4 linked regions of the Lepisosteus oculatus genome follow. The protein of the gene in region 1 interacts with the protein of each later gene in a pairwise test. Links are inferred from orthologs where the notes say so. Each region holds a gene or a part of one and is shown in the gene's direction. Other genes may lie near its edges.

Evidence for each region.
Region 2: the proteins of pin1 (region 1) and retinoic acid-induced protein 1 interact in binary tests that used the Homo sapiens proteins (3 or more experiments, as listed by UniProt). The two-hybrid records come from large-scale screens. The link is inferred for Lepisosteus oculatus from reciprocal best matches to the Homo sapiens genes PIN1 and RAI1.
Region 3: the proteins of pin1 (region 1) and zmiz2 interact in binary tests that used the Homo sapiens proteins (3 or more experiments, as listed by UniProt). The two-hybrid records come from large-scale screens. The link is inferred for Lepisosteus oculatus from reciprocal best matches to the Homo sapiens genes PIN1 and ZMIZ2.
Region 4: the proteins of pin1 (region 1) and abi2b interact in binary tests that used the Homo sapiens proteins (3 or more experiments, as listed by UniProt). The link is inferred for Lepisosteus oculatus from reciprocal best matches to the Homo sapiens genes PIN1 and ABI2.

Annotation. Positions count from the first base shown.
Region 1 is NC_090706.1:15,084,576-15,091,458, reverse strand, and holds the start of pin1 (peptidyl-prolyl cis-trans isomerase NIMA-interacting 1), read left to right. Parts: upstream 1-3,882; 5' UTR 3,883-3,957; coding exon 3,958-4,015; intron 4,016-5,096; coding exon 5,097-5,294; intron 5,295-6,306; coding exon 6,307-6,417; intron 6,418-6,883. UniProt on the Homo sapiens protein: Peptidyl-prolyl cis/trans isomerase (PPIase) that binds to and isomerizes specific phosphorylated Ser/Thr-Pro (pSer/Thr-Pro) motifs.
Region 2 is NC_090714.1:17,528,528-17,536,148, forward strand, and holds the start of retinoic acid-induced protein 1, read left to right. Parts: upstream 1-4,611; 5' UTR 4,612-4,692; intron 4,693-6,842; 5' UTR 6,843-6,865; coding exon 6,866-7,621. UniProt on the Homo sapiens protein: Transcriptional regulator of the circadian clock components: CLOCK, BMAL1, BMAL2, PER1/3, CRY1/2, NR1D1/2 and RORA/C. Positively regulates the transcriptional activity of CLOCK a core component of the circadian clock.
Region 3 is NC_090697.1:69,338,024-69,345,623, forward strand, and holds the start of zmiz2 (zinc finger MIZ domain-containing protein 2), read left to right. Parts: upstream 1-4,585; 5' UTR 4,586-5,207; intron 5,208-7,600. UniProt on the Homo sapiens protein: Increases ligand-dependent transcriptional activity of AR and other nuclear hormone receptors.
Region 4 is NC_090707.1:35,005,245-35,012,526, forward strand, and holds the start of abi2b (abl interactor 2), read left to right. Parts: upstream 1-4,277; 5' UTR 4,278-4,398; coding exon 4,399-4,515; intron 4,516-4,617; exon of another isoform or gene 4,618-4,790; intron 4,791-7,282. UniProt on the Homo sapiens protein: Regulator of actin cytoskeleton dynamics underlying cell motility and adhesion. Functions as a component of the WAVE complex, which activates actin nucleating machinery Arp2/3 to drive lamellipodia formation.

The DNA of each region.
Region 1 (6,883 bases):
CCCAGCCTGTCAATTATAAGTCCAGAAGCTTACCCAGTACTCCTTTGCAGGTTTTATAGGTAGACTTAAAATCTCAAAACCATGTTAATGCTTTCTAATTAAGATATTCAGAACGTAGCTGGAACAAAACCACTAAATAACACTGCCCAGCACAGACAAACCAAGTCCATAAAGACCATGTTGTATATAAATACCAGATTTTATTTTTAAAACAATATCAAAACAAAATATTTAGCAGAACAAAAGCCTGATGTTGAGACAATTTACTTCCTAATCATTAACAATGGAAAAAAATGTATCTTTGCTGCTTCAATACAAACTTGCATGTTCAGAAAGGGTTTACATCTGCGAGTTCAGCAAGGACTGAGGAATTTTACCATCCCTAAAGCAATTTGTGGCTCAGTATGTCTACTGGTAATACAGCTCCAGGTTCATTCCATCATGGATTTCATCTGTTTAGAGAAGCAAAATTAAGGAAAAAAGCACATTATGCCCTTGATGGGGCTCTGCTGCTTACATGCTTAGAACCAAAGCACTACTACTATAACAGAATGGAGGCTGAATCACAGGCTGCACAATAGATCAAAGGAAAAATCTGATAAGTCTTTGCAAATCCCCAGTCATGTTTTGCAACTAAATTAGTTTAATGTACAGTAAGTATTCACAACCTGCAATAGAAACTGTTAATCAACCTGTCAAATCCAAAGGTTGTTAAATAACCTTACTGAACATTTTCTCATCCCAGAGCCTGGCACTAAGGAGTCTTGATTGGGATGCTCTGGATAATTCATTTAAGACACAAGGTGCCAATGCTGATGTCTGAAATCACAGATGTGTGCAAGCTTCACAAAACTGACATGGTCACGTGCAGTTTGTGCTGCAAGTTGGGCTGAAATTTTACAGGTTCCTGGGTTCCTAGGATCTCCTGCTCACCAGTCTAAACAGCCTGTATTCATTATGCAAGCAAAAGCACCTCAAGGCTTTCAGCGGACCTTTCAAAATGCAAGAACCCAGCCTGCCCTGCCTGCACAACCATCACTCGATTAAACCAATCAATTCCATAACAGTTACTTTGCATTTGATCTCAATGGGATACATAATAGTTTTGCCACTTTTACTGCAGAAATTCATCACCAAATGCTAATGCTAGCTGTATGTATTTAGTTCAGCAAACTGGGCCAATGGATTATGCCAACAGCCATATCACCCTGCAACTCACAACTGGCAAACCACTAAAGCTAAGCAGGGGTGAGCATGATCAGTAACTGCATGTGAAACTAAGGTTTCTGCTGGAATAGGTATTAGAGAGGCCAGCAGGGGACGCTCACCCTGCAGTCTGTGAGGGTCTTAATGTCCCAGTATAGTGACGGGGACACTGTAATGTAGGAAGACACCATCCTTCGGATGGGACATAAAACTGAGGTACTGACTCGGTGGTCATTAAAAATCCCAGGGCGTTTCTTGAAACGTTTAGGGGTGTTACCCTGGTGTCCTGGCCAGAATTCCTCCTTTACCAATCATGGCCTCCTAATAATCCCCATGCCTGAACTGGCTTCATCACTCTGTTCTCCTCCCCCGAGAGCTGGTGTGTGGCGAGTGTACTGACACGCTATGGCTGCTGTAACATCATCCAGGTGGGGCTGCACACTGGTGGTGGTGGTGGTGGAGGGGAGTCCCCAATACTTAAACATTAAGTGGAGTGTCCAGAAAAGTGCAAGGAATTATTCAGAACAGGGAGGCTCATCTTAAACCTGATTGATATACCTTTACTTTATACATTCAAACAAAACGATTAAAAAAAAGGATACAGTCTCCTAACGATACATGGTCCTTGAATATAGTGTACCTGCAATGACAGAATTTAAGAGACAGGATTAAAAATGTTTTCAGTTGTGAAACAAAGCATTGAAAATGCTACTGGGTGAAAAAAAGACATCCTTCAAAACATTTAATATGCTTCTTACACTAAATGAAAGAAAGCTAACATTCTTTTACATGTCTTGGACATTCCAAGTGTATTGATAGGGAACAAAGGCATAAGGTGTTCACTACTCTGTTATCTTTACAGGTTTCTCCAAAATCCCATACTGCAGTCCCCTGTGACAGAATGACCTGTTTTTTCTGCAGAAAGGATAAATAAGTACTTGTCAATTTACCAATCTAGACCACTTTATCCTTGAGATACACACACAAATGCCCTAAAGGTACACATTAAAACAGCTTTTTGCAGTTCGGTATTCAAAGCATCCTCACCATTTCTTCAAGACGATTTTATCCCACCTGGTACCAGTCTGAGCAGCTATCAACTTCTTCAAGTCTCCGATCGTGTCGTCAGGGCTGGGCGCAGGAGTTAAGTGGAAACTTCAGAACTGGACACAAAGCCTCGTCTGAATAAGCTTTTTAGTCAAACCTCCTCTAGAAACAACTTCTCTAAAACTAGTGACCAGCAAATATGACAGTTGGAAGAGGAAAAGTTGGTTGAAGGAAAAACAGACTGGTTTCATTAACCGAAGAGGAAAACAACATCAAGACTGAAGCGGTAACTAAAAATAAAACTTTCTTTAGATAGATCACATATATTATTGTATTCCAGGTGAGGAAGCTAGCTTTTACTGAACGGCGTTAGGACACCGAGCTTTCACATTGGAGGCACAAATAGTGCAGTCAGCGTTTGTTTTTAGTTTTGAGACACTTGTTTTAACGCAATTACTGCCATCAAGGATACTTGCACTTCACCCTGACCTTCTTGCCCAGACGGTCGTTACACACCACTTCAATCATTGCGAGGCCGGAACCTGGAAATAAAGACGCAGAGCGCTTACAGTCGCAGCTGGGATCATGGCACAGACACGCTTGTAGTTCCTACAGCTACACGAATGTTATTTGCCGTCACAACTCTTCTTGTGCCGCAATGCCGATCCCTATGAGAATGAAACTGCTGCAGTCATGCATGATCTAATCACCCCCTCCTCGACGCTATCTGAATTAGAGACAACATTAATTTACCTGCACGTTTATTTACTTTACGGCACAATGCTGTGAACATCTTAAATGAGACTTTCCTTAGCTATGGAATGTCCTGAACACACTATAAAATGACAGCACTTTGTAAAGATCGCGATAAAATAGATCTACCTTTTGTTTCAACTAATCCACTTTAAATAATACACTTCTCTTCGCCCACCGAAAAAAATAACAGAATACCATACCAACACTGGCAGGAAGGATACCCGCTCTAAAACGGAAAAGGAAAGGACATTAACCAATGATAGACTACTTTCGGAATCTGACAGATGTATATGTTAGCCAATCCCTGTGTTCTTTTAATCCTGAAAGGCGGGGATTTGAGCATGTTAGTTTTCTGCCGTAAAGTGTATTAGATTAACGTGAATAACATCTCGTTTTGCGGGTAAATTGCAACTAACGCCATTTTGGCTCAGTCGTGTAACGTCCATCAGATGCTAAAATGTATCGAGTTGGAAGCCAACATGGCGGACACACAGACACAGCTTCACTTTAGTGTCTTTCTCTTAAAAACCTTAATGTCCATAACTACATTTTCGGCAATATTGTTGTTTCCAAAATCAGATAAAGACCGCGACATACAACTATTATAAATTAATTTTAATAGTGTTTAGATAAATTAACTAATTGTATAAAAGCAAGCCGTAGAAATTGCATATTAAAGGCAATACACCAGTAGATATGAACCGGCACCACCAGTTATTTGCAATGCGAACAACACAATGCAGTAGTTTTTTTTGTAGTTTGTATTCATTGCGGGCGCGGGCTTTTTTTTCCCTGGGAGACCAAATAGTGACAGCCCTTACTGCCCCCGACTATCCGTGTTGTCGAATAGGGTGGTAGGAAAAGCTGCCCGTCACTTTCGAGGCGGCCAGTTATAAAAGTAGTTTGTGTGAGAAGAGGGGGAGTTGGCCTCTGGTGTGCGCAGAGAAAATGGCAGACGACGAGAATTTACCTGCGGGGTGGGAGAAGCGAATGAGCCGCAGTTCAGGTAAATGAAACCCAGGCTCACCGAGATTATAATAACAAAGGGGCGGAAATCTTTTTGGTTGTTTTTTTTAACCCTGGGCGCTCCCAAATTGTAAACTTTTTTATTTATAAAAAAAAGTCCGTTATGCGCTAGCATTCGGATCCTGAAGAGCAGACTCTGATCACAATTAAAATTGTTAAGTAAGGCTGCAAATAATGTTTTTTTTAATTTCCCCCGCCGTGCAAAATGTTTGTTCACACGCACTGTGGGGTGCAGGAGATAGTTTCGTGTTTTGAATGCGTTGCGAATGAGTTGCTTAGAAAGCAACGGTGCAGAGCTTCTTTTTTGCGCCTTTGCCGAAAGAGGGTTTAAAATTGTGCCAAGCCGTCATTGATGGGGAAATATGAGTCTGTGGTTTTGCTTTTAAGCACATTTTTAAAATGAAAACACAAGAAAAGGGAAACGTTTTGAAAACGGGGAGGAGGGGGGCGGGGGTTATAAATCGCCCAAAACGCCCACTCCTTCAAACGTCCAGGCCAAGTCAGTCTCCTGTCCGGTTTTTTTCCCGTAATAAACAGGCTCATAAGATCGATTCGAAGGTTTGTTGACGGAAATGACCTTCCGTCGGGCGCAGCACATCCTTCGGTTTCTGTGTTTGTTTTGACGGATTCGTCTTCTGCGTCACGGCAGCAATGGGACCGCAATGGACGTGCGGGATAATGCCTCTTGGCTTCCAGACAGTCCAGTCACCTGCTTTCCGAATTGGGGAGACAAACTCAGTGTAATCAAAATACAGTTTGAGAAAGAGGACATCACTCGGTCCGGTCCAGGTCCGGTTCATTACCTATGACTCCTCTTGACTGGGAGCTCGTTACTGATGTGTACAATACACTTACACGCAGTCGTTGTGTTAGGGCACTCTGGAAGCTTTTAATTTTTATAAAGCTGTATGGGAGTTCAATACTTGGAATGCCCTTTATAAAAAGTATTTCTTCCTTTTTTTTAGGCTGCCCTCATATCTTTTTTTTTTTTTTTAGTGGTCTTATTTTCATTGGTTTCTGGCTTCTAGCTCACTCCTGATGTTCTCTCTCTCCCCCTGCAGGTCGGGTGTACTACTTCAATCACATCACCAACGCCAGCCAATGGGAGAGGCCCACTGGGGCCGGGGATGGCAAGGGGGAGCCCGAGAAGGTGCGCTGCTCCCACCTGCTGGTCAAGCACAACCAGTCCCGCCGGCCGTCGTCTTGGCGACAGGAGACCGTCACCCGGACGAAGGAGGAGGCCCTGGAACTCATACACCGTGAGCAGCCCAGGCCCGAGACTCGGGGCCCTCTCCGCCTATTAGCATGTGCATGCGCAGCTCTTGAGTCCTGCACACAGCAAAACTGACTCCTGTCCTGAGCCCCGCTGCGTTAGAATATGGCCATAAGAACAGTTACAAACGGGGGGTGGGGGAGAGGGAGAGCATTCAGCCCATCTAGCTAGCTTGATTGTCAGTAGCCAGTAATCCATGGATCTCAGCCAGCAGTTTCTTGCAAGAAGCCAAGAGGAATTGGCTTCAACAGCACGGCAGGGCAGCTTGTTCCATACTCCCACCACCCTTTGGGTAAAGAAGTGCCTCCTGTTCTTGGTTTTGTGTGCACTTCCCCTGGTTCGGGTTTCGCTGTTCAATGTGAAGAGCACCACTGGGCTGACTTTGTTGACGCCTTTGAAGATTTTGAAAGTCTGTATTGTTCCTTTTTGGTCTTCTCTGAAGACCTCAAAAGGTTCAGTTAATAATAATAATAATTGCTTACACTTATATAGCGCTTTTCTGGACACTCCACTCAAAGCGCTTTACAGGTAATGGGGACTCCTGTCCACCACCACCATGTGCAGCATCCACAGTTCCTTCAGCCCATCAGTGTCGGACGTTTCCTTAATCCCTGGAATAGATTTGGTTGGTCTTCTTTTTGATGTTTATCTTCTGGAGGAAGCCATCCTAGTAGAATTACCAGGAATAGAGTGCAAGACTGTGACAAATCACTGGGCACAAAAAAGAGGAGGCACAGGCATATCAGTATTTGGCAACATCTAAGTCAAAGAGTTCAAGTGAGCATTTAGTAAGTTGAGTGTTCTTAACTCTGCAGCTCTTACTTATGTCTCCTGAAATCACGTTTTTACTTGCAAATAAAACGCCGCTGCTCCATAGTCATGTACCGTTTTGAGGATGTCAGCGTTTGTGAGGAGGTCGCTCTGCTTTTCCTCTCCTTTCTCCAGGCCCTCAGGCCCCCTCGTAGTCTTACTGTCTCCCTCCCTTTTTCCTTTCCCAGAGTACATCGAGAAGATCAAGTCCGGGGAGGAGGAGTTTGAGAGCCTGGCGTCCCAGTTCAGCGACTGCAGCTCGGCGCGCAATGGCGGAGACCTGGGCACGTTCGGCCGAGGTGAGTCCCTGTCTGTCGCTGTCCTTCCGACTCCACGCCTCACGGCAGAGGTGCAGCGGTTCAGTGAGAAGTGAAACTGTGACGCTGGATCGTGATCCCTCTTTGGTCTTTTAGGACCAAGGACTTCTTTGTGTTTCTCCGTAAGGACTGTTGTGCTCACAGTCAGTCTGTGTAGGAGTATGTGAAGGCTAATTCCTTCTTCAGGCTTGACAGCCAAAACGTTTTCCTCTTTCTGTTTTTCAGGGCGGAGTTAAGCTCTACTTGTCCCTTTGCAGCCAGAGCAAGCTGACGTAGCTCCCCGCTCAGTCATCTATATAGAGATGTTACTTTGTAATGACAATCGCATTTTCAAGTGTGCTTTTGGCCCGAGAAGGAGGTGGGGATGATCAGTAACTTGAGTACGGTGGAGCGCAGGTGATGCCGGTCCTTATTTTGGCAGGAAGTGTTGAGCTCGTGTAATCGGCCT
Region 2 (7,621 bases), on another chromosome or scaffold:
TAACCTATACCAATAATGAAGTAAATTCATCCAGAATAACACTATGATTAAGTGGGAACTATTAAAAGCGTGTCTGCAGATCCACTGTGAGCACGCTGCTACACTTGGGGGCACACAGGTAAAAGTTCAATACATACTGAAAAGACGAGAACAGAGTGTTTCAGCTGTGGAGCCTTCTTCTGCTGTGTGGCTCCACAGCTGAAACACTCTCTCGGCCCGGAATAACCCTTTACCTGCATTCGTGCGGCTCCCTGCTGCTCCTCCTCCAGTGAGGTCTGACCAGGGCCTGTCCCCTCCGACCCCGAGAAGCGGCAGGCTTGCTCATTTCCTATTTCTGGGCTTCGTCCGTGTGTCCTCGGCTTGGAAGGTTTAGAAACGGGTCTGGAGCCGAGCCGAGCCGAGCCGAGCCACAGCCAGCGAAACCGGAGGCGCGTTTGTTTATACTCGACGGGACCACGTCACGTCTCGGAATAGCGGGCCTCACGCCGCCCGGTCAGCGCAGCCCCGCGGTACCGTCGAATAAACGTGACGCTCTTACTTCTCCCACCCCTGGTTCCGGTCCAGAGTCCGGGATTCAGGTGCCCCGCGAGAGGTTCGGACCCGAACTCCCTCCGCAACTCTCCGCCCTCTCCGCTCCGCGACGCTGCCGGCTTTCCCAGAGGCCTTTGCTGTTTCATAATAGTAATCATAGTAATCACAATGACGATGTCTTTGATTATTTGAATTCGTGACGACGGTTTAAAGTTGTTCTGGGGGAAAGGGCCGCGAGGCCGGCCTGGGCCCCTCTCGCGCGCAGCCCCGCTGCTCCCGTGCGTGTGCGACAAGACGCGCTCGTGCAGGGCTGTGATTGGTTTGCGGCGAAATGCACCGTTTTTTCCCACAGGCCCTTCGTCCTGTATCTACCTGCAGCATGCAAAGCGAAGGGCGAAGAACGATGCATCCGTGACACCCCATTCGTTTTTGTTAGTTAGTTTGTTAGTTTGTTTGTTTTGTAAGGTGTGCAGTATGTCACCGGTGCGTGTGAGCGCTGCTAGGAGGGGAAGCGGCGCGCGTCGGCCGCCAGTCGCGAGGAACACGCTCGGAGCGTTGCCAAGGCAGCCTCGCGCCCTCCCTCGTCCCGCAACGCCGGGCGCACGAGCTGTCCCTGGGGACCGGGAAGCTCATTCGCCTCCACAGGCTTGCAGGGGTACATCCCCTCGCACCCCGCTCGGGAAGTGAGAGAGGGGGACCCCGCTGGTAGAGACTTTCTTAATCCCGTGAGGGAAACGGCCTCGGCCGGACTGTCCACCTGCAGCGGCCGCGCCAGCTGGGCGCAGGAGGTGTCGATTGGAGTCTGTGCTGACGTGCGCAAAGCCCTTATCAACCATCGGGCAGCAGCAGAATCCATCGATTAAGCGAGCATCGATTCAGGATTGTCATTTTAAGTACGTTTTCCATCAGCCCTGTGCAAATCGAATCACACTGCATGAAGAAGCCTTGTTTGTGGGCATACGAGAGTGAGAGCGGTGTAAAGGTGTATGATGCCCGTTCTTCATTAAATACAGGGTCGAGACACAGCACTACAATATGTCACTCCCTTTGCTGTATCGCACCGAGCACGTGGTGCGCAGGTTACCCACCTGGAGCGGCAGGTAGCGCCCAGGGAACCAGTCTGTACCCCGACAGGGCTTCTGTCAGCGCGGCGCTGTGTTTATTAAAGCGAAGCGAGGAGCTCTGCCTGTTTCCTGTAACAGCAGCAATGCCCCGAACACCTTGACACTGTCAGGGGGAGACTCATCTGACTGCACGCCAGAAAAAGAACATTCCTGTGATCCCCACACGTCGCTGAGCTGGTCTTCTAGCCTCCCATTGGCTGTCGTATAAGCAGTCCTGGCTGTGTCTCGAATATCAATTGCCGTTTTGTAGGAAGCGAAGCGTCCCTGATCGCTGGTGTTGTGTGCGTGTGGTGGAGCCGCTCTCCGGCCCTCAGGCCCGGACCGGGCTGTCGCTCTGCCGAGAGCCCCAGCTGGTCTGCGCCTCGTGTTCGCGGTGGCGAGGCGGGCCGGAGAGGAGCGAGTCTGAGACCGGCGGCCGTGGGGTTTCACGCAGGCTGGGTAAAACCAGACACGAATTCTAAAAAATAAGAACGTTTCCTTACTCTCCATGGCAAAACGAAATTTGAGGTGCGCCCTACAAATTCACAAATTTGAAAACAGCAATGTACCAGGACATTTTCCCGACACTAATAGCTCAATTAATCCTTCACTCTTTTAATTCTGTATAGGGCGCCACGTTTCGTCGTGTGCAGAGCACAACCACAGGACTGTATACCAGGGCTCAGTACCGCAGAGCCACTCCGTCCGCTGGGCTGATGAGATGCCCCCTGCTGGTTAGATGAGGTAGTGCCCCCTGTTGAATACCGAGCTGTTTCTGCCCCCCGGGAACCTGCCCTCTCCACACAGCCCTGCGCGGCGTCGCTCTCGGCGTGCGAAACCGAACCGAGGGCAGGAGAACGGGTTTTCTTAGCCCAGAAACGGGCCTCCACGTCCCGATCCGGGTGTTCGTGCAGGGCGGCCGGGTCTGCTCCCGGATGACGCATCGGAGCGCGTCGGGCGAAACACACCCCCAGGGCGGGCACGGCTGAGGAACAGCCATGTTCTCGGTGTACTGCGCACAACTAGAGAGGGAGGTCATTAATAATCCTCTAATGAATTCCTTAACTTAAAAGATAAATACTTAACACTAATTACAAGCATACCGTAATTAGATTGGCGCACATCAGACAGCAATTTTCTCTCTATTGCTTGTTCAATTACTATCATTTGCCCTGTTTTTTACTCCCGTTTATGTCTCTACTGTTCTAATTCTCCAGAACCGACTCTGTAGTTCTGTGATTGACTGCGGTGAGCCTCAGGTCTGGCCGACAGCCTGCCCCCAGGTCCAGTCCAGGGACTGGTGACCCGGCCCGGTTCGGCTCCGGTCTCCGGGGTTTCCCCAGCCCTAGTGCAGGGGCTCCCGCTGTCTTCCGCATTCCCTTCCTACTGCGGTTTCAATTACTCCATCACTCAGTCACACTGGCAATTTGCTTAATTAGACCTTTAGAAACAAAATGAAACTGTGTTTCCAGCTCTGAATACAGGTTTACAAGTAACCTGAACCCCTGAAGTGCTGGGAGCTGACAGCACCTTCTGGAGAGGGGCTCCGTGTGTGCCGGAGGTTGTTTTCACAATCTGGCGCTTGATGACACAGTTTGGAGAGCAGCTGAGGTGGACAGCGCCGGCCACTGAGGTCCAGAGAGCAGCTGGAGTGGACAGCGCCGGCCGCTGAGGTCCAGAGAGCAGCTGGAGTGGACAGCGCCGGCCGCTGAGGTCCAGAGAGCAGCTGGAGTGGACAGCGCCGTCCGCTGAGGTCCAGAGAGCAGCTGAGGTGGACAGCGCCGGCCGCTGAGGTCCAGAGAGCAGCTGGAGTGGACAGCGCCGGCCACTGAGGTCCAGAGAGCAGCTGGAGTGGACAGCGCCGGCCGCTGAGGTCCAGAGAGCAGCTGGAGTGGACAGCGCCGGCCGCTGAGGTCCAGAGAGCAGCTGGAGTGGACAGCGCCGTCCGCTGAGGTCCAGAGAGCAGCTGAGGTGGACAGCGCCGGCCGCTGAGGTCCTGAGTCTGGAGTGGACAGTGGTGACCCCTGAGGTCCAGAGTGGACAGCGCTGGCCGCTGGGGTGGACAGCTGAGTCCCCTGCTGCCACTGCCCACCTGCGCTGGTGGTGGCTGGGGCTGCACTACTCTTAACTCTGTCCCGGGTTCGAAGGAGAGCCTTTCCATGAATGTGAGCACTGCAACGCTACCGACAGCTAATCAGCTCTTCCTCAGATCAGCCTCTTCTCAGCTGCAGCCCTGCTGTCTCCCCCGGCCGAGGAAGCCGGGCGCAGGGATCGGGCCAGCGACAGCAGCAGCTGGTCCTTCGTCCGTGAAAAAAAATAAAACCACATTCAGAATAATTGCAAATGATGTGGGGATCAGAGAATACTCCTGGAGAGTAACCAAGCTGTGTGACACATCCAACTAGAAGCATTTTGTAATTTCATGATACAAACACACTGGAAAGAAAGTGGGGGGAAAACACAATCTCATTTAGAACAGGCTCTTTAAATAAAAACAGAAGAATTAGCATATTCCAAGGTCGTAAATATGCAGTACAAAACGAGGGCAGAGCTGTGCTGGGCTGTGTCTGGTCCTGGAGGAGCCCTGTGCTCCCAGTCCCACCAGCAGCTCCAGCAGGCGACTGCGCTGTGAGCAGGGAGGTGCGCTGGAGTCCCGCTGGGGCTCCGGCGTCACTCAGAGACCCGGGCAGGGGGAGGCGGAGGAGGAGGATAAATCCCGTCTCAGGCTGCCAGAGGGATGATGGGATCAGGCGAGGCCGCCACATTCCGTGCGTGCCGGATTATCTCCCAGAAAGCAGAACGATCGGATTCCGCCTCCCTCTGAGCCAGGGATCTGCTCACATTCCTCGCCACCCTCCCGGGCTCGGGCACCAGCGCTGTGATGGACTGCACTCCTCCGCTGCTGTGCATAATTGCAGAAATTAGCAGCTAATGAAGCAATACTGAGCTGGGCAGGGCAAGGTTGTGGAACGGTGGGGACCGGAATATCCCGAAAAGCTGAACTGCATGTTTGGACTGATGCGCTCTCTCATTCGAGACTCCAAGGCTCAAACACCGTGTGAGTTCATCTAAAGCCTGCTTTCAGGCCAGGTGAAACTGGAAGCCAGCACTTAGTGATTGTATCTTCCTGGAATGCTGTCAGCTATCAGCTGTAATACCTGATGCATATAAAGTCCATTTATGTCTGTTCCACAAAGGACGGCCGTTTCGTGTTTGTGAGTTAATCCAATTTGGGATTTTAAGAGTTTGAAAATGTATCCTACTGAACAGTCATCTTACCTTCCAAAAGGACACAGCATCACGCTCATCTTGCAGTATAATGAAATACAATAGAATATCATTCAGATTACGGTCAGTACTGAGACAAAAATAGCATTGCTCTTCATTGTCACACAGCCCAGGTTGGGCTATGCCAAGGCTCTGAGGGGCACCTGTGCAAAATCAATCAAGGTTGCACAGTCTGGCACATAAACAGGAAGTCACCAGCATGTCCCGGCTGCAGGAATCTGGAGAGGACTGGGAGCACAGCTATACCAGCGGACAGCAGGGCGCTGCCACACATATTGCTGTCAACCAGGAAATGCGGTGGCCCAGCAGGTGCAGAAAGCACAGCAAAGAGAGACAGATAAGAGGAACGCAATCGATGCTTATTGTATCTCTCAGCAGGCTCAGTACTGAAGTGCAAAGAACAAAATGCAATACTCTGTCTGCAGAGTCAAAATGATTCCTGATCAGCTGCCTCCCACAGGTCCTAAAAGGCAAGCAGTTCAGATAAGAATATCCAACAGCAGCACAGGGAGTGAGGGGCAGGCTGGAGAGGTCGATTTAAAACGAGAGCACTCTCCTGCTCTGGGGATTGAGGTGGTGCTCCTGCCTTCTTCATTTCCACGTCTCCCCTTGTGTGCATCACCAACCCTTGTTCACTCTGCGCTGTTTATTCTTCATGGCTCTGCAAGATAATCAGAACGCTGGAGCCAACTAGCTAGCAAGGAAGCTGGCCAAGTCTGGGTCTGGTCTGGTCTGGGTTCGATTCCAGACCAGGGGTGCTGTCTGTGTGGAGTTGATATGTTCTCCCCGTGTTGGCGTGGGTTTCCTCCCACAGTCCAGAGACTTGCCAACAGCCGAAGCGCTGTCTGGGACAGCCGGCCCTGGTGCCAGTGTGTGTCTGTGTGCCCCGCGCTGGACCCAGCCTTGTGCCTGTTGCTTTCCGAGATGGGCTCCAGCTCCCTCGTGACTCTGTATAGGGTTCAGCTGTGAGAACATAAATGGATAAGGCCAGTTAGAGACAGGTAGATAGAAACCTTTCAGTGGCCAAAGCCTTAACATACAGTAATTGTAACATCTTTCCACGGCCGATTTACATGCACAGAACAGGATCAGAAATCTCTGCAGACAGGTTGACTTTCTGGTGCTGTGCAACAGCCAGAGCTAATTAATATTCATCGTCTCACAACATGTAGATTTCTTACTACGCACACCCTCGGTTCAAGAGACGACAGTGGAATTTTACTTTACTTTTTCCTTCGTGGCCACATGTGAGAACCCGGCGTGCTGCCCACTGCCCGAGCGATAACGATGTTGTCTTGGCCTCTACTCCTGCCATGTCTAAAAGTGGCCCCAACCTCCCAGCGACCTCGTCCTTGGTGAAGGGGTGGCGACTGGGAATCTCACGGTTCTGGCATGTCGCTGCAGCTACCAGCCCGAAGCAGCCTGGGACTCTGGACTTGTGCTGCAAACAGAGATCACTCTGCTTTGCTGTGGCAGCGGCTGCATCTCCAGGTTTCTCCAGCCCTCATCACAAAAGCATCGGGAATTCAACAGGGAACAACATTTCCCCCTAGTCAGGAGCTTTGCTTGCGTGCTTCAGTGCTTCTGCGCTTCGGTGCAAATGAATTATTTTTTGTGCTTAGAATGCTCACTTGTATTTTTTCCTTTAAAGAAACTAGTCGGTTCAATAAAGAGTGTTTCAAGGTAGAAGGTATTTCGGAGTCATGCCATAGACAAGCACCACACGCGTGTGTGGGCCCATAAAGCACAGAGCGGGATACCAGCTCGCCCCTCTTAAAGAGAGGACGCGACACCCGAAAACGTTCCGAAGAGAGTTTCACGTCAGTCGATACCACAGACAGAGGAGGGGTGGGGGGTAAATATAAGCACACAAGCGCGGGGAGCTGGAAGTAAGCACTCTCTCTTGTGTTTTGTTTGTAGAGAGAGGAGCCCGAGCCGGAGTCATGCAGTCCTTCAGAGAACGGAGTGGTTTCCATGGCAACCAGCAGTGCTACCAGCAGGAGACACATGAATTATCACGCCTTGAGAATTACAGACATCATCACAGCCAGACCAGACAGGGCTACGAGGCACATTCGCTCGCGGCCGCGGGGACGAAAGACTGCTACAGCCAGCAAGCCTACCCGGCCTACGGCAGCGGCTCGGCCCCCGCGGACAAGCAATACAAGGGAACCAAACTGCCGGGCCAGCTCCTGCCCAGCGGGCCCTCCGCCGGCGGCTACAGTGGCCACCTGGGCTCAGCGTACCCGGCCCAGTACATGAGCGAGGGGCACCTGCCGCAGAAGTGGGACGACTCCGCGCACTCGCACCTGCCCCAGTACGAGCAGGAGCTGGTGGGCCGGCTGGAGCCCGCGGCCGGCGGCGGGCCCGGCGGGGGCCAGTACCTCGACCAGACCCTGCTCCCCATTTCCCAGAGCCAGTGCGCCCACCCCACCCAGCCCAACCCCCCCGTCTACACCACCCATCCCCAAGCGAAACTGCCCCAGGACACCTCCCCGTCCCCCATGACCTACACCCAGGGGCCCATGCACTTCCCCCAGCACTCCCAGTCTCTCTCCTCCTCAACGCCCTCCTACCCGGCCGTGGAGAAGTGCAGCCAGACGCCCCACTGCTACAAGAGTTACGCCATGCCGCCAACTTCCCAGTACAACCGGCAGCTGGGGAGCAGCAGCATCAAGCAGAGTGGCTACAGAGCCCAG
Region 3 (7,600 bases), on another chromosome or scaffold:
ATGTATTACCGAGGACACGCAGGTGTTTACAATTTCTCAATAAAATTTGCGAACGCTTGCACCTCTCATGTGTGGATGTGGTACAGGCCATTCCGGCCTCGCTTGGTTAAGTGCCTTATTGACTCGATGTCTTAGAGACTGTTCTTTTTTGTAAAGGTGGAACCACAATTTCAGACGTTAAGGAAGCGTAACAAAGAACAGATCCTCAACAACTACATGTTTAAATGTGAACATTTAAATTTGTGGCTTGCGCCGCGTGCAATTTTCCACGTTTTGTAAGAGGGAGAAACAGTTCAACTGAAACCCTTACGTAGGTAAATGAGTAATTAAGGCTAAAGCATACCCGCGCACTTATATCCCCAAAATAGATTAAGGACTTCACAAGTGCATAGTTAATCGTTTAACTTTTTTTCCCATTTTTAAATATCCAATTCACGTATACAACAGCTTAGTGAGCTTGTCATAGGACGCTAGGGTAAGGAATAAATATGTCGTTTTAATCATCTATAACAAGACAGGGTGAGGAAAACAGAGATGAGAGAACCATTAGGTAACTGTGGTAACTATCATAAAATGGACCACATTTTTTTACATTTCATTTTTGAAACTTTACATAGAATGCATGGCAATACTTTGATTATTTCTTTTTACTTTAATCCCATGAGTAACTCCCATCAGAAGCAGTTGTCCATATAGTGTAATAAACTAAGAAAAATGTGAGGAGAAAGGAGGTACTTTATAGAGTGATTCAAAAAGTACAGCATCCAGTTAAAGAAATGGAGCACAGTTAAGTGAATATTTCCAACCATATAGGGTTTGGTTAAAACAGAATATCCCAGAACACAAGAAAGAGAAAAAAAGAAAATGGAAAGAAAAATAAATGCAATGGAGAGTAATAAATAAAGTTTTATTTTGTTAAGTATTGTGTCATGTTGTGACACGTATCATGTCGGCAAAAGAATGGTGCAGGATAAAAATTATGTCTCAGAGATTATGATAATGGCAAAGTTTCTGAGATGATAAAGGAAATGGCTGATGAATGAATATTTCCCTGGGGTCTTCGGCAAGGAAGAGATCAACAACATGCCCCAAGCATGGGAAAGATGAAGTTCTATATTTAATAGTATTAGCATTAAAATGGCAGGAATGTTGTGGATACTAGAAGCACTGAATACTGCATATACAAAGCTGTAGTCATCTTTCAATCGTAATTAAGAAGACAAGATATTTCTCAATGCAAAGAGATTTTTACTGATTTAGTCAGTGATTTTCATGTGCAAAAGTGTTTTGTGTCCTGGTGGATGGTATATCTGTGTGGTACTGCTAATATTAGTGGTACAGTGTTATTTGCTCATATGTCAGTCTAAATGGAGTAAGCCACTAGCTGAGGGACTCTGGGAAACCTAGTGTAGCGAACAAGTTTGTTAATCAAGTAATTAATAATGGATCAGCTGATCCTTACCACTGAGGTGATGTAAAATCTTGGAACAGCTGTGGGTCAAGTCAGAAAATCTGTATGAAATTACTGAGAAAGAAGCCAGAGTTTAACCTGTGTCAATGAAATATTGGCACTGTTCCTGAGGCAGGATTTGCTTGGCTCACATGGTGTAGCCTTCAATGTAGCTTTCTGTTTGAGTGGAAAGGATGTGGGAGATGGTTAAGGTAAGATGTGTTTGTCATGTACTCTTGTGCAAGCCTTTCTTCTTCTTCTTCCCCTCGTTTCTGTTTGTCTGTCTCCTTTCTCAGTCATTATCTCCAGTCCTGCTCCTTATCTCCTTGTCTGTGTCTCTCTACTTTCCTGAGATTTTTCTCTCCCTCTCAGATGGAATTTTCCCCGGTGTTGTTGAGTCCTGATGAGGGTGTGACTGGGTGTGACCTTTCTTGACCTTCTCTTTGTGTTTGTTCATGGCCTGGTAACTCCTCCCCAGTGTCCCCCCTGCTATTCAAGCTGCAGTGCTGACATGCTGGCAGGTAGGCTGCCGGGGGTGAGCTGGACACTCTCTGCATCCTCCTGCCCCATGCTGACATGTGCTGGGTGAAAGGTGGACCGAGCCAGTTCAGCAGAGTTGACCACCACCAGGAACTCGGCTCCATGCTAGTACTGTAGGCCTTCTGTGCCTGACACTCAGGTACAGCCCAGTGGCAGCAGCGTTCACTGAAAACAGCAAATCAATTTACAGTAAATCAGTTGTGAAAGCAGAGCCAGGGCGTTCTCAAAGGCAATGACATTTCAAATAAAATAAACTCAATTTCCATTAAGTATATCCAGAAAGGACATTTTAGCCTTCATTGTCCTTTCAGGAAGACAGTTCCAAAGCCAATGAGTTTATTGACTGAAAGCACTGCACATAAAAACACCCAAAGCATCCAACGCCTACAGTACAAAACATGGAAACTTATTTTCTTCATCCAAGGCATGGATTTCAATGCATTAATAACTTTAAACTCAAGAGGCACTTACGGCTAAACCTGAGAGGAAACTTTATGTATTTATACACTCCAGTATGAACCTACTTACTCTCCATTTGTAGGTATGGAGCTCGTAATTGCAAAGTGGGTATTTGATGATCTGGCACATAGGGAGCCATACTGATTAGTAATGTAGCCTTCTCCTCTTGAAATCAATGCAATACCTAGTGGTTGCCTAGTGGTAAGATTTGAAAGAGATCACACGTTGAGTAAATGAAAGGTTTAATTTGTCAGGACTAATCTTGCCCTTTTCAGGGAAGGTCATGTCAGAAAGGATGTCAATTATTTTCTTAGGCAGCAGTGGGCAAACAGGAGGCATAAGGCACCATGACAAGGTGCGCACAAAGACAAGACACAAACTTGTAAAGAAGGACATTACATTCATGAATCTTTATAGCTATAATAATTAATAATAATTGCTTACATTTATATAGCGCTTTTCTGGACACTCCACTCAAAGCGCTTTACAGGCAATGGGGATCCCCTCCACCACCACCAATGTGCAGCATCCACCTGGATGATGCGACGGCAGCCATAGTGCGCCAGAACGCCCACCACACATCAGCCATCAGTGGGGAGGAGAGCAGAGTAATTAAGCCAATTTATAGAGAACAATTTATACGTGGTGAACAAAAACACAATATCAGAGCGTAACAGCAGTTGGAAACGAGAGGAGACCCATCCTGGAAATTAACAGCTAATTGATCAGAAGAACTCGTCCAGCCATTTCTTGGAGGAAGAGTATGTTTCTCTTTCAGCATGGCTGGGTAGCTTGTTCCACATTGCCACATGCCTTTGCATAAAGAAATACCCTCCGTTCGCAGTTTTATATCCATTTCTATGTAGATTCTTCTTGTGTCCTCTAGTAACGTCCTAAGAACAGCTTCTAAATTATGGTAGTGCGCATCATAAACAGCTAACTGTGCAATGTCCCAGAACGCAATGCACCTCTGCACTATACACTTTTGACTTGGGCTACCGTGTGTTTTTGTTCACCACGTATAAATTGTTCTCTACCGTGTTTGTATTGTTCTGGTTGTTTATTGACTGTACACACTATCACTTTCTATTCTGAAACATTTTGTAATGTACTGTCTACATTGTGAGGTGTTTTCTGTTGGACTGTGTTGTTTGCTGTACTGAGATAAACACGTGAAGAAGAATTCCAATGTACATGTACATGTGGCAATAAACTCCTCTACTCTACTTTGTGTTTTATCATTTGTTATTGTCAACACAGATATTACAGAAGAAATAACATTAGCCTGTTTAGTGGTTTGTGCTATATCAATCACAGTTGTTAGAAGAACAGCTCACATGATTGGAGCCGATTTTTGACATTAAAATGTGAGGTATTTCAATATGTACAGTATGGGTTTTGTACAGGGACACCATTTGTTAGTGTGTTATTTTGTGATCATAGCACACCGTCTCCCACTTATTTTTAAACCCAGATTTCCTTATGATGACATTCTTCATCATTGGTTATTGTGAGACTGCATTTTAATCATCACTGTTACTAAAAATTATCGTTGTGTAAAAGAATGTATACGTTTCAATCAAAAGTATTGAGATTAATTACACCAAAGATGGTACTTCTTAATGAAACGTCAGTGTCCAAATAACATGGTAAGATGTCTTCCTGATGTGTTGTGGTTGTTTTTAATTCACTTTGAATAACGGACACACACAAATGCATCATTTATTAGTGGGAAATTATTTTGTTTTAAATGCCGAATGTTTGTATAAGACTTCAATTATTTTGCACTTAAAACAAATGTGCGGTGATAGAATAACGCGGTTACAACACATTTCAAATGTTATTCCTTTTTCCACCTCAAAAGGGTCGACGGGCAAGTTAGAAATCACGCCGTTTCCGAAAACCCCAAAACTCTGCAGTCCTCGACACCCCCACCTTCAACTCACAACAGACAGCCATGTTGGCTCTAGCTTCGGGATTAGATCAAGGAACGGGAACAGGCTCTGTTTCAGGAGCCAAAATGACCCGCGTTTCATTCAACACCGTGGGGTTTGCTCGGAGCCAAGAGAAACTAGGGGAGGGAGCGAACGTCCTCTAGCTGTGATCGGATAGGCGATCGGTTAGTTGCGACTGCGGACGACGGGAAGGCAGTGAGGAAGGCGAAGAAAAAAAAGTGTCTTTTTTTACCTCCTCCGACAGAGAACCAACATCCCTCATGATCTCATGAATAAATTATAGCAACCCATTGTGCAACACCGAGGGAGGTAAAGCCGTGGAGTCGAGGCAAATACTGCCTGTGCACAGAGCAGCGAAACGAGTCGCGTTGTATGTAGGCTAACTCTCACTCTCCACTCATGCAGTGTCCGGGGACGATCTCTAGCGAAGCTCCCCGCAAGCCACCCGCGTCCAGGCTGAGCTCCGGAGCTCTGTCGCGTTGCTAAATAACGAGAGCCGAGAACAGGGGGGGAAAACGAAGGATTACAAGAAATAACGACATGGAAAATACAACTTAGCCGAGGTAATCGAGGACTGCGAGCGAAAAAGGGGGAAAAGGAGGAGAGGAGCGGAGGAGGGGGGGGGGAGGTAAGGTTAAAAAAAAGAACACGCACCGTTCCGAGTGGGGAGTGGAGGACGGAGGAGAAGCTGCTCTCGCCTTCCGCGCAGTGCAATATTTAAAAGGAGTAGCGCGTGCTGCTGCCCGGAGATTCCTGCAGTCTGAACCCCGGCGCGCGGCGACCGCAGGCAGTTCGCGTCCAAGGTAAGAGACTGACGCTGCGTCCACATTGTTGCTGCCATCGGCGGCTGCTCCGTGTTTGATGTGCGTATATGAGTGTGTGCGTGTGGTTTTGTTTTGTTTTTACCACGATGTATTGATTTATAATCGTGCTCCGGGGAGAGGGCGAATGAACGGACAACCCGATCTGCGATACCGGATCGGCGTGGGCTTTGATTTTTTTGTTGTTGTTAGAGTGTGAGAAATCCGAAATAAGAAAACAGTTTTTTTTTTTGCCGTCGTTTTTAATGGTCGTTTTCGTGTAGTTCGCGGTGTGTTACAGGCGCTTTAACAAAGGCCCCGCGGTCGAGACACCTGGTGTGCCTTTGGGAAATACCACATTTCTAAGAAGGAAAGAAAGAAAGAGAGAACTAGTTCCCGTACATCAGTGTGTGTTGGTATTACAAGGACGTACAAAATGTCTTCCAATTGTTATTTCATTCTGGGCACACGTTACTGTGCGACTGAGCTGGCTGTACCTAGCCTGCCTGAGTACGACCTGCCTGCCCGATGTCTGGCAGTCACGTTTTTTGGGGGGTCTTTTTTTGTGCTATTTACCCTCCTCGTACTTTTCTGCGTCTTGTCACTCGAGATGGGGATGCCGTGAGAAATGTTTTTGTGCTGTAGCGAGGGTATTTTAAATGGTGCTGGTTGGATACCTGCCGAGCTCTGGAGACCTGTACCCAGCATGCGACGTGAATGATGCCGCGGTTTCGTGACGAAAAGCAAGATTGGCCAGTTTCGTAGTTTTGTTTTTCTCCCCCAAGGATGTTGGCTTCTGATGATGAAGCCCGTCAAAAGAATTCAGCAGAGCGAGTCAGAAACTGTTAAGATCTAAGTTCTTGGCTGTAGAGTACGCTTTCTCTGGTAGATGGAGTAGTTATTACAGTAGAAAGTTTCCAGGTGTTGAGCATGTATCTTGTCGGTAGTTGGCTATGGAGGCAATTTTGTGTACACTTTTTTTTGTCGTCTCCTCGGAATTCAGCACAGACTTTCTTGTTCTCGGAGGGCTACGATTATCGTATTGTAGCCCACTTTTGAGACGGCGTCCACCAGCGCACTGAACCCCCTCATCCGATCGCGTCTTGTGGCGGACAGCTGGGTCGATACCACACCTCCACCTGCTCCTCACAGCACGGATCACTCGCCCATGGCTGTCCACCAAAACTCAGGCAGCGTGTGTCGGTGACTTGTTAAAAGCCCTGTGCAAAAACGTCATCGGACTGACCGCCTGACCCTATCGTTTGTCACTGCAAGAGTTTTAAAAAGAGTTCGCTCAGAAATGGAGACGACTGCCCAAATGCCATTGACTAATCTGTTACCTGTTAGCATCTGCGAGCAGGGCTGCATCTCGGTTTTGTTCAGAGACGGCTGCGGCTCTCAGTGTTGATTACTCATAATATGCTAAAGTTCAGATGGCGTTTTGTGTTTTCACGAGTGCGAGGACCCTGAGCTCACTCTGTCCATGTGGGTGGGTAGCGTTCGACCCGGGGTTGCTGACTGTGCTGTGAATTATTGATAACGGTACATGACATTTTGTGCCAAACTCTGTGCTTAAGACCTGTCGAGAGAAATATGCTAGTGCAGACTTATGCTCGGGTGTGACATTTTGCTTTCAGTAAGTGATTTAGTAATAGATCACTCCTGGGGTGACATGAGGGTATTTTTTGTTTGTAGGAGTTAGAGTGAGTAATATTTTGTGAGGTGACTTTGGAATAAAAAAAAAGTTAACTCTAAGTGAGTGCTGCTGTGTTCTGTTACACTGTGTAGTAGTTCATGATGCTTTCATACTTATGTGCTTTAGTGCTTATTGTAATAAAAGCTCCCGAGACAGGTCAGTGCTGTGTGTATCCTGCTGTGGGACTCATTTCTCTTGGAGGGGCTGAAACGCCCTGGCGAAGTACCAGTTCTCTGATCAAGGGACTCGGCGATGTCTGGGGTGAAATGAATTTTGTGTGGCCACTGTTTCTTTCAGACGCGGGGTTGAAATGCACGCGCTGGCGCTGTGCGGATAGTTTCGGGATTGTGCCCTTTCTCTCCTGTGCGTCAGGGTGAGACTCGCTTGTGCCCTCTGCCCAGCTCAGTCAAGGCTGTCCTGTCTGCTGCGAAACCGTCGCCTGCCGAGCTTTTCGAGAGGCAAGTTTGATTAGGCTGAATGTGGATGGCCTTGCCAACTCATTGAACACCCCTCTCTCTCACACACACACACAGATCTGGTAGCTCTCCCATCTTTTTTTCCCTGTTCTCCTAAATGAGGAGTGTCCTGAGCTCGGCTCGGCCCCGCCCCGCTGCCAGTGGTCCGACTGGTCAGTCTTGCCACGTCTTTCCAGCTCGGGGGGGCTGGGTGGATGGACGTGCTAGGACAATTGTGTGCTCTG
Region 4 (7,282 bases), on another chromosome or scaffold:
AAAATCTACTGACTGTGTATACCTCTCCTTACCTTATCTATGAACTCAGCAACATCAAAGCAGTTCTCTCTCAACAAACAACTGTGCGATGAAATGAAATGTACCTCTTGGCAGTATCCGTTAGGGTGCTGGAACACTACATTCTGATTGTAGAGAATTAATGGAGCAGAAAAAAAGATGGTGTCACTGGAAAAAATAAAACTGCATCTTCATGTGTGTGCTTTAGGTGATAGTTTGATGCATTTGTGAAAGCTAAGAAAAACACTAAAACAGAAATAAAATGCTGTTGCTAATGGGAGAGTTTGACACATGAGGTCTCCACTACTACCATATGATTAGTTTATAATTATGTTATAATTATTTTACTACTAATATTATTATTAGTTTAGACTGATAAACGTGGTTTAACTCAGATAACCAGACATTGCTTGTTAAGTATTCACTCATTTTACACTGGGACACCCCATTTACATCTCATTTATTAATACCCCTGTACTTCTGTAGTACCACAAGAAGTCTCATGGTTGCCTCAGGAAGGTGTACAGGAAAGAACTATTTGCCATTTGTGTGCTGTGAAAACTCACACGTGTGAATGCTCACATGACACTGGGAGACCCTAAGCTTCTCCATTTGTGCATCAAACCAAGGACATCCAACCAAAGAGGCATTCAGCCAGTGTGCACAGCTGTTTGGGATCAGCCTAGGAACAGTGGTGCACACTGTCTCTATGTCTATGCATCACTCTGGTCCAAAGAGACAGCATTGTCTGGTAAGTGTTGTAGCAGACCCTAATGCCAGTATTAATTAATCTCTAATTAAAATGCAAACAAAAATGCAATGTTGAATAATTAAAATTAACTTTAAAGCAGAACTTTAGGTCCAAATATCACTGTAGCTGAGAGAATGCTCATTTTACAAACAGATGGGCTTGGGGAGGAAGTCTTTTGTTTCTGTGAGTTAACCCAGGATCCTTCGATACAGACAAGCTGTCCCTGTAGCTACTCCTGGAGCTACCCATTGCCCCAGGAAAAACCACCAGTGTAAAATGAAGCAGTAAATGCCACTTAATTAAAATTTAATCCATACAGCACTGCATATTAATTTAATGTTAAATGAGACATTCATGCCTTCAAATAATATTTAACTAAAACCAATAGTCATTTTAATAAGAGAGTGTAAACAATGACAAATGTGACCATATACAGTATAAAAAAGTGATTACATGTCTGAGTTTCTTTATATTCTACTAAGAGTCAGCTTAGGGCCAAGTGTTAACAAAATTCACTTTTCCTGACAAATGCATGTTGTGTCTTTTATGTTAGTTGTTTATGTTGTAGTGAAAGGAATAAAGCACGATTTAACATTTATTTTCTGGAATGTCCAGAGAAGAGCATCCAGGTGGATTAACAGACTTGGCACTGGCTAAAGCAATGAGTTTTTTGTTTGAATGTTTGAACAGAGAATAATGTGCCTGATCCTGGTCCCAGTTTTCACAATCCTCAAAAGAAGTGACAAACTCAACCCACTGGACTTGTGAAACATAAATCGGAGGACCCAGCACAAGTTAAAACTCTGTGGGAGTGCATTGAAAACTGACAAAAAGAGGCTGTTCTTTGCACAAAGGGCTGTTGGAGTATGGAACGAGCAAATGTAAGTGTGAGTTCACAGCAATCCTTTATTTTTCAGATGCGAAGGCCAGGTTTATTAACCATGTTAAGTTGCTGAGACAGAGTCAGTGATTCCGAAATGTGTTCTTGGTAGGTTCATTGGAAACTGACTGGAGCAAGGTAGTTAAAAGCAGCTTGCTAATTATTAAAGAATTAACTAATTTAACACTGTCTCATCAATTTATAGGCCATAAGCCAATTGGAAAGAATACATTTTTAGAAGAGAGGCCTGAGAGTCCCTTATTTTTATATTTTGATGACCATACAGCAGTTCTTGTACCTAAAGAGACATAGGCTAAATGTCCCTTTGTCTGATTAAAATAAGACCTTTTTTATTTGCAGAGGAAAAGTGTCTCTTTAGCTCTGGGCTGCAAAAATGCAGTTTTCCTTGTCCAGGTTTTTAAAGTGAAAACCAAAAAAGCAATTCAGTTGCACACTCCCTCCATGACTTTAGCTTATATTTACTCCCTTTTTATGTTCTTTTGTCTTATTCGAAACTACATTTTTTTTGCAGACAGGAGGAATGCTACAGATGAGATGCGGAATCTGATTAGATGCCACACGAAAACCTGCCTGTCTACATAATCAGAAGAGTGAGCTGGTGTCCTGTATTACTTTAAATAAAATTGAGAAAAGTAAAACAGAAATAAGTCATTTTAAGCTAAACTTTAAGCTTCTTCAAACCAACCTTGAAGTCGAATGCAAGCTTATTCTCCATAATAGTAAGGCAGAAAAGTTCTGAGACATTTTCCTAAGAAAACAGCAGAGTCGGAGAATGTTTGTTAGACATGAATCTGGACACAACTGAAATGGCCTCAAATTTGATTTGTCTAAAACTGTATTTAGCAGTCAGCAAAAGGGAATATGGCATTTGGTTCTCAGCAATGAAGACTTGACTGTAAACTAATTCTGCCAAATTACCTGAAGAACAGTTTGAGCATTTCTATTTTTTTGCAATCCAAAGACAACAGATGAAACTCCACAATTTTCCAGCAACAGTTCATACCTGAAAAAAAAAACGGATTATTTTTTTTAATTGTTTGCAGAAGATCATATTTCTGATTTTCCACAACGGCTGTTTCTGTGATGCTACGTGTAAATCGAAATAGTACCTCTGTACTTTTTTCACTGTGCTTAAACCAAAAATTGCCGGGTATACAGATTTTCTTATACAGTTTATTCGGTTTTAAATTCTGATATTATAGTTTATAGTGTAAGTAAAGCCACAGAAAGAATGTAGCATGAAGGGCTTAAAACTGTGAGGAAAGTACGAATGGATGTCAACAAAAGAAGCAGCTCCCTCTACTGGTCCTCCAGCATTATTAGGCAATGATTATCAAAATACTCAACCGTGCTCATATAATAATAATAATAATTGCTTACACTTATATAGCGCTTTTCTGGACACTCCACTCAAAGCGCTTTACAGGTAATGGGGACTCCCCTCGACCACCACCATTCATAGACCTACCTGTATCATCTTAGTAAACGTTTCCATCAATGTATCACCAATTAGTTTTAATAAAGCAACTAAACTAGGAGAAATGTATCAGCTTTTCTAGCACTATTCTATTTTCACCTTAACCTTTGATTTGCATCAACAAAAAGGCTGATAGTGTAACGAAAGGAGTCAAGCCTCTCCAAGCAACACACACCTTTCATTTTCTCAGCCAGCTTCAACACAATAAATTGTTCTGAGGTGTGTGAGTGCTTAAATCCTGTGTTAAACATGCCAGGACATGCTTATTTGGAAAAGGCATTGACTCAAGGTGTGACTCATGTTGCTCTAGATAACCCCTATGACATTAAAGATTAATTGGTGCACAGTAATGACAGCATACAACATACTGTGCTATCTCTTGCACAAGTGGCTGAATGAAAGATGGGAAAGAAACATTCATCTCTTAAAACTACCAAAACGCATCTTCATCAATGAAACCAGAATTTAAAGGATAAGGTCCACATTTTGACCTCCAAATACTATGACCCCTTATTCATATTGCCTTAGGCTGCCGGTAATCATGGCTTCTCGTTCTCTTTAGTTTTGTAAGTTATTTCTAATGAAGAAGGGGAAGATACAATACTAGGAACAGTTATTGATAACTGGGTCTACAACAGGCAATTTTTTTTACAACATCCCACAAAAGATTGGACTAGCTGATAAAGCCAGATTAGGCTTCAATGTGCATCTACAGTATGCTACTGCAGGGCCACACATTCTCAGTTAAAACCATAAATGAATGATAAAAATGATGTACGTACAACTGTTGCCATCTTTCAACAGCCAAGGCTTTGAATTGCAATGAACAAATGCAAAGTTATTCAAAAGCTTCTGCGAATATAACGCTGGAACGGGGTATGATAATATGTTTCGTTCCAGTTTCCTCCAAACAGTTATAAACCTCTAAGAAATGTGAAGATAAATGACACAAAATCATTGAGTACAACGGTGATTGTGATTTGTGTGTCTCTATTAGGATGGGTAGCAAAAACACCACTTTTTATTAGCGTCTTAAAACCTCTGTGGATGCAAACCTATTTATATTTCACGTCATTTAACAGGTGACAGCACACACTTAAGTGTCAAACTTCCTGACATCGTTCTCCTCGCTCCCTCCCAAAAAACCTTCTCCAGTTGAGTAACTACACCTTTCCCACATCGGAGGAGAGGAAGTTGTATGCCTCCCTGCTTCCTGTGTTGCCAGCGCTTCAGTGTGTTAAAGATGTAAAGATGGCGGAGCTACAGATGCTTTTGGAAGAAGAAATTCCGGCAGGACGGAGAGCTTTGCTCGATAGTTACACCAACCTCGAAAGAGTCGCAGATTACTGCGAAAACAACTACATACAGGTAAGTTGGAGTGGGTTTTCGGTAAACGGGCTGGCGTTGAGAGGCGAGCGACCTGTCTCGGGTTGGAAAAGGCTGTGGAAAACGAGAGGAGGGATATTGCTGATGCTCTCATGTTGTGCTCCCCTTTGCGATGTTTTGCTCAAGTCCAGATTACAGCTCTTTCCTTTGCTGCAGAGGTTTTTGGACCCATTCGGTGTGTTTGCATTGACATATGTTCAGTTTCCAGGAATGCGGGTGTAGTTTGAGGAATGTAGTGCTTGTGGTGAAGACGTGTGGTAAGTGTGTATGGATGCGTACGGTGGGGGTTGAACATTTGAAACGGACTGGGAATGATTCAGTAAGTTGTAACACGATAAAGTAAAAACTGATATAAATCAGAACGTTAAATATCTAGATTCGTATAGATTTTGGAGGAAAAAAAACTCCCCTATTAGGAAGCATATGCCAGATGCAGGGATATACAGGGAGCGTCAGTATCAGCGTAAACCTGTAAAAATGTCTCTTTAAATAGTTTTTTTAAAGTTCAAATTGAAATCAATAAAGATCAAAAAGTGCATAGCTACTGGAACATTTTTTTTTTCTGCCGAGTTATGTGTGCATGGCGGCACGGTGTTATTTAATAAACAGGTTTGTCATCTGTCAATCATGGCTTGCTTGATGCGGTGGTGTGTTATTTTCTAGGAGGGTGTCTTGGAATAAACTGCCAGCATGCAGGATGTAGAAGATCATACTATAGGTTTAAAGAGTGGCAGCCCCAGCCTTGCATTTCAAACGCACGCAGCACAGAAAAGAAATAACTTGGTTTCGCTGCATTTTGCAAAGAGATATCGCGTCCGTTTTGGTGGAACGGAGAGTTTAAAACAACCCAGTGCATCTGATCATGATTACAGTCCGGTGATTAATACATTGAAGCCGAAATCTGTGACTAGCCAGACCATTTTTGACCCCCCACTTGCGGGTGATGAGAAACAAATGGGGATTTTAGACGTTTATTTTGCTCCGGAGTTGATCATCTGTGCCTTTGAAGTTGCGATATTGTGATGTCGGCGACGCTTGCGAGCTGTTTCGAGTTGCGGTAGATGTATTTTTTAAAAATTTACTGTAGTAGTAGTAGCAGCAGCAGCAGCATCTTTAAAAAAATTGCCATCGATGAGGTCAGCTGCTACATAATCAAATACCTCTTGCCTCCTGGTGTTTGCCGCGATGGTCGCTAATTGAAAACTATAAATATAAATCAACCGAGGGTTCACTTTTCGGTGACCTGAACGCACTAGAATAAAACGTTCTCAGCCCGAATCAAGTATTTATGCCAACTGTATTTATGTTACATTGTTTTTTATTTCTGTCGAATTAAGGGGTTGACCTCTCTGACACAAAATGCCCTCGGGGTCTTGCTCGACAGCATTACACAAATTCGTCGGATTTTAGAAAAGCTAATCTGATGTCTTTTTGAAGAACATTTTAATGTGATTGCTGGTGAGCTAAGCATATTAATCGGGTCCCGGCTGTGATTGGTTTTTAAGGTGACTGAGCAGTATCAATAATTTGTTTTCCCCCGGGAATATGGGTTGTGACGCAACGGCGTGTCAGAAAACCCACACGTATCGGTTGATATACAAAATACGTCTATTAAAAATATCAAGTATCGTATTTGATTGTGCATGCACAATCGCGCGTGCTAGATTTTTCTCGTTTTCTTTCAAGGGTTAATTTCCAACAGGAAGGATTTCAGATTGTGCATAAATGCATGAAGGGGTTATACGCTTTTCAGTTTTTACACATAAATGTGAATTGTAATGGTTATTCGACGAGGGACGCGGTTTCATTATCTTGATATTGAACACTTTGGGTTCTGTGTCTGTATTTACATGGTTATAGGCGAGTCTTGGCTCTAATGAACACAATTTAAAGTTAATTTGATAATAATCCACAATTTTACTCCTTTTTATCAGCCCCAGTTTCTAAACAGCAATATGACTTTCTCCCCTATGTTACTTAACTTTAACGTTAAAATACCACTCCAGTAATGTGTGTGGTTAATTAAGGTAAATGGACGCTTTAACATCATTGTTTGGGTAGACGGGAAATTTTAAAAGGCAGTTTGCCACAAAGCCCCCATGATTTCGCTTTAGTTCTTGCGTTTCGTTTGTGATTTTGTTGCTGGAGACAGGACCCTCAAAATTGTCATTTTTCCCTGAAACCAAAGAGGGACTGGTTCAAAACTCATAGCTGCCTTTACCCATGGCTGAGTGCTTTATCTGGATGCAAGGGTACAAAGCAATGTCCACAGCTTAATCTCCTGTGTCTTGAACCTCCTTCTCTGCCATCCTGAAAATAGCCCATTTGAACTTTTTTTTGTCCCTTTCTCCTCAAGGGACTTGTGTTATCAAGGAATGTGGAAGCTATTCCGAAGGTTGATTCCCGATTTGCACCGGAGTCAGAAGTGCTGAAGGGTCTGTCGTGGGCAACGTTGAATTAAGCGCTCGTGAGAGAATGTGATCTTAAAACAGTTGGTCCCGTGTGCCATAATTTACAGCGATTTGTGTTTTGTAATAAAGGGAGGATGTGTTTCTTTTCTCAGCATTGTAGCGGGGGTTTGTGTAATGTTGGGCAAAAGACAAAAATATGTAGACACAAAGCATCCCATTATGGTATTTATATACAGATTGTAGATGTGGCATGTATATAATTTTCCTTGTGAGGTAAGCTTCGTAGGATGGAACATCTGTCTGTTTCAGTTTCTTTAGTCTCTGTGGGGAAATTGCTG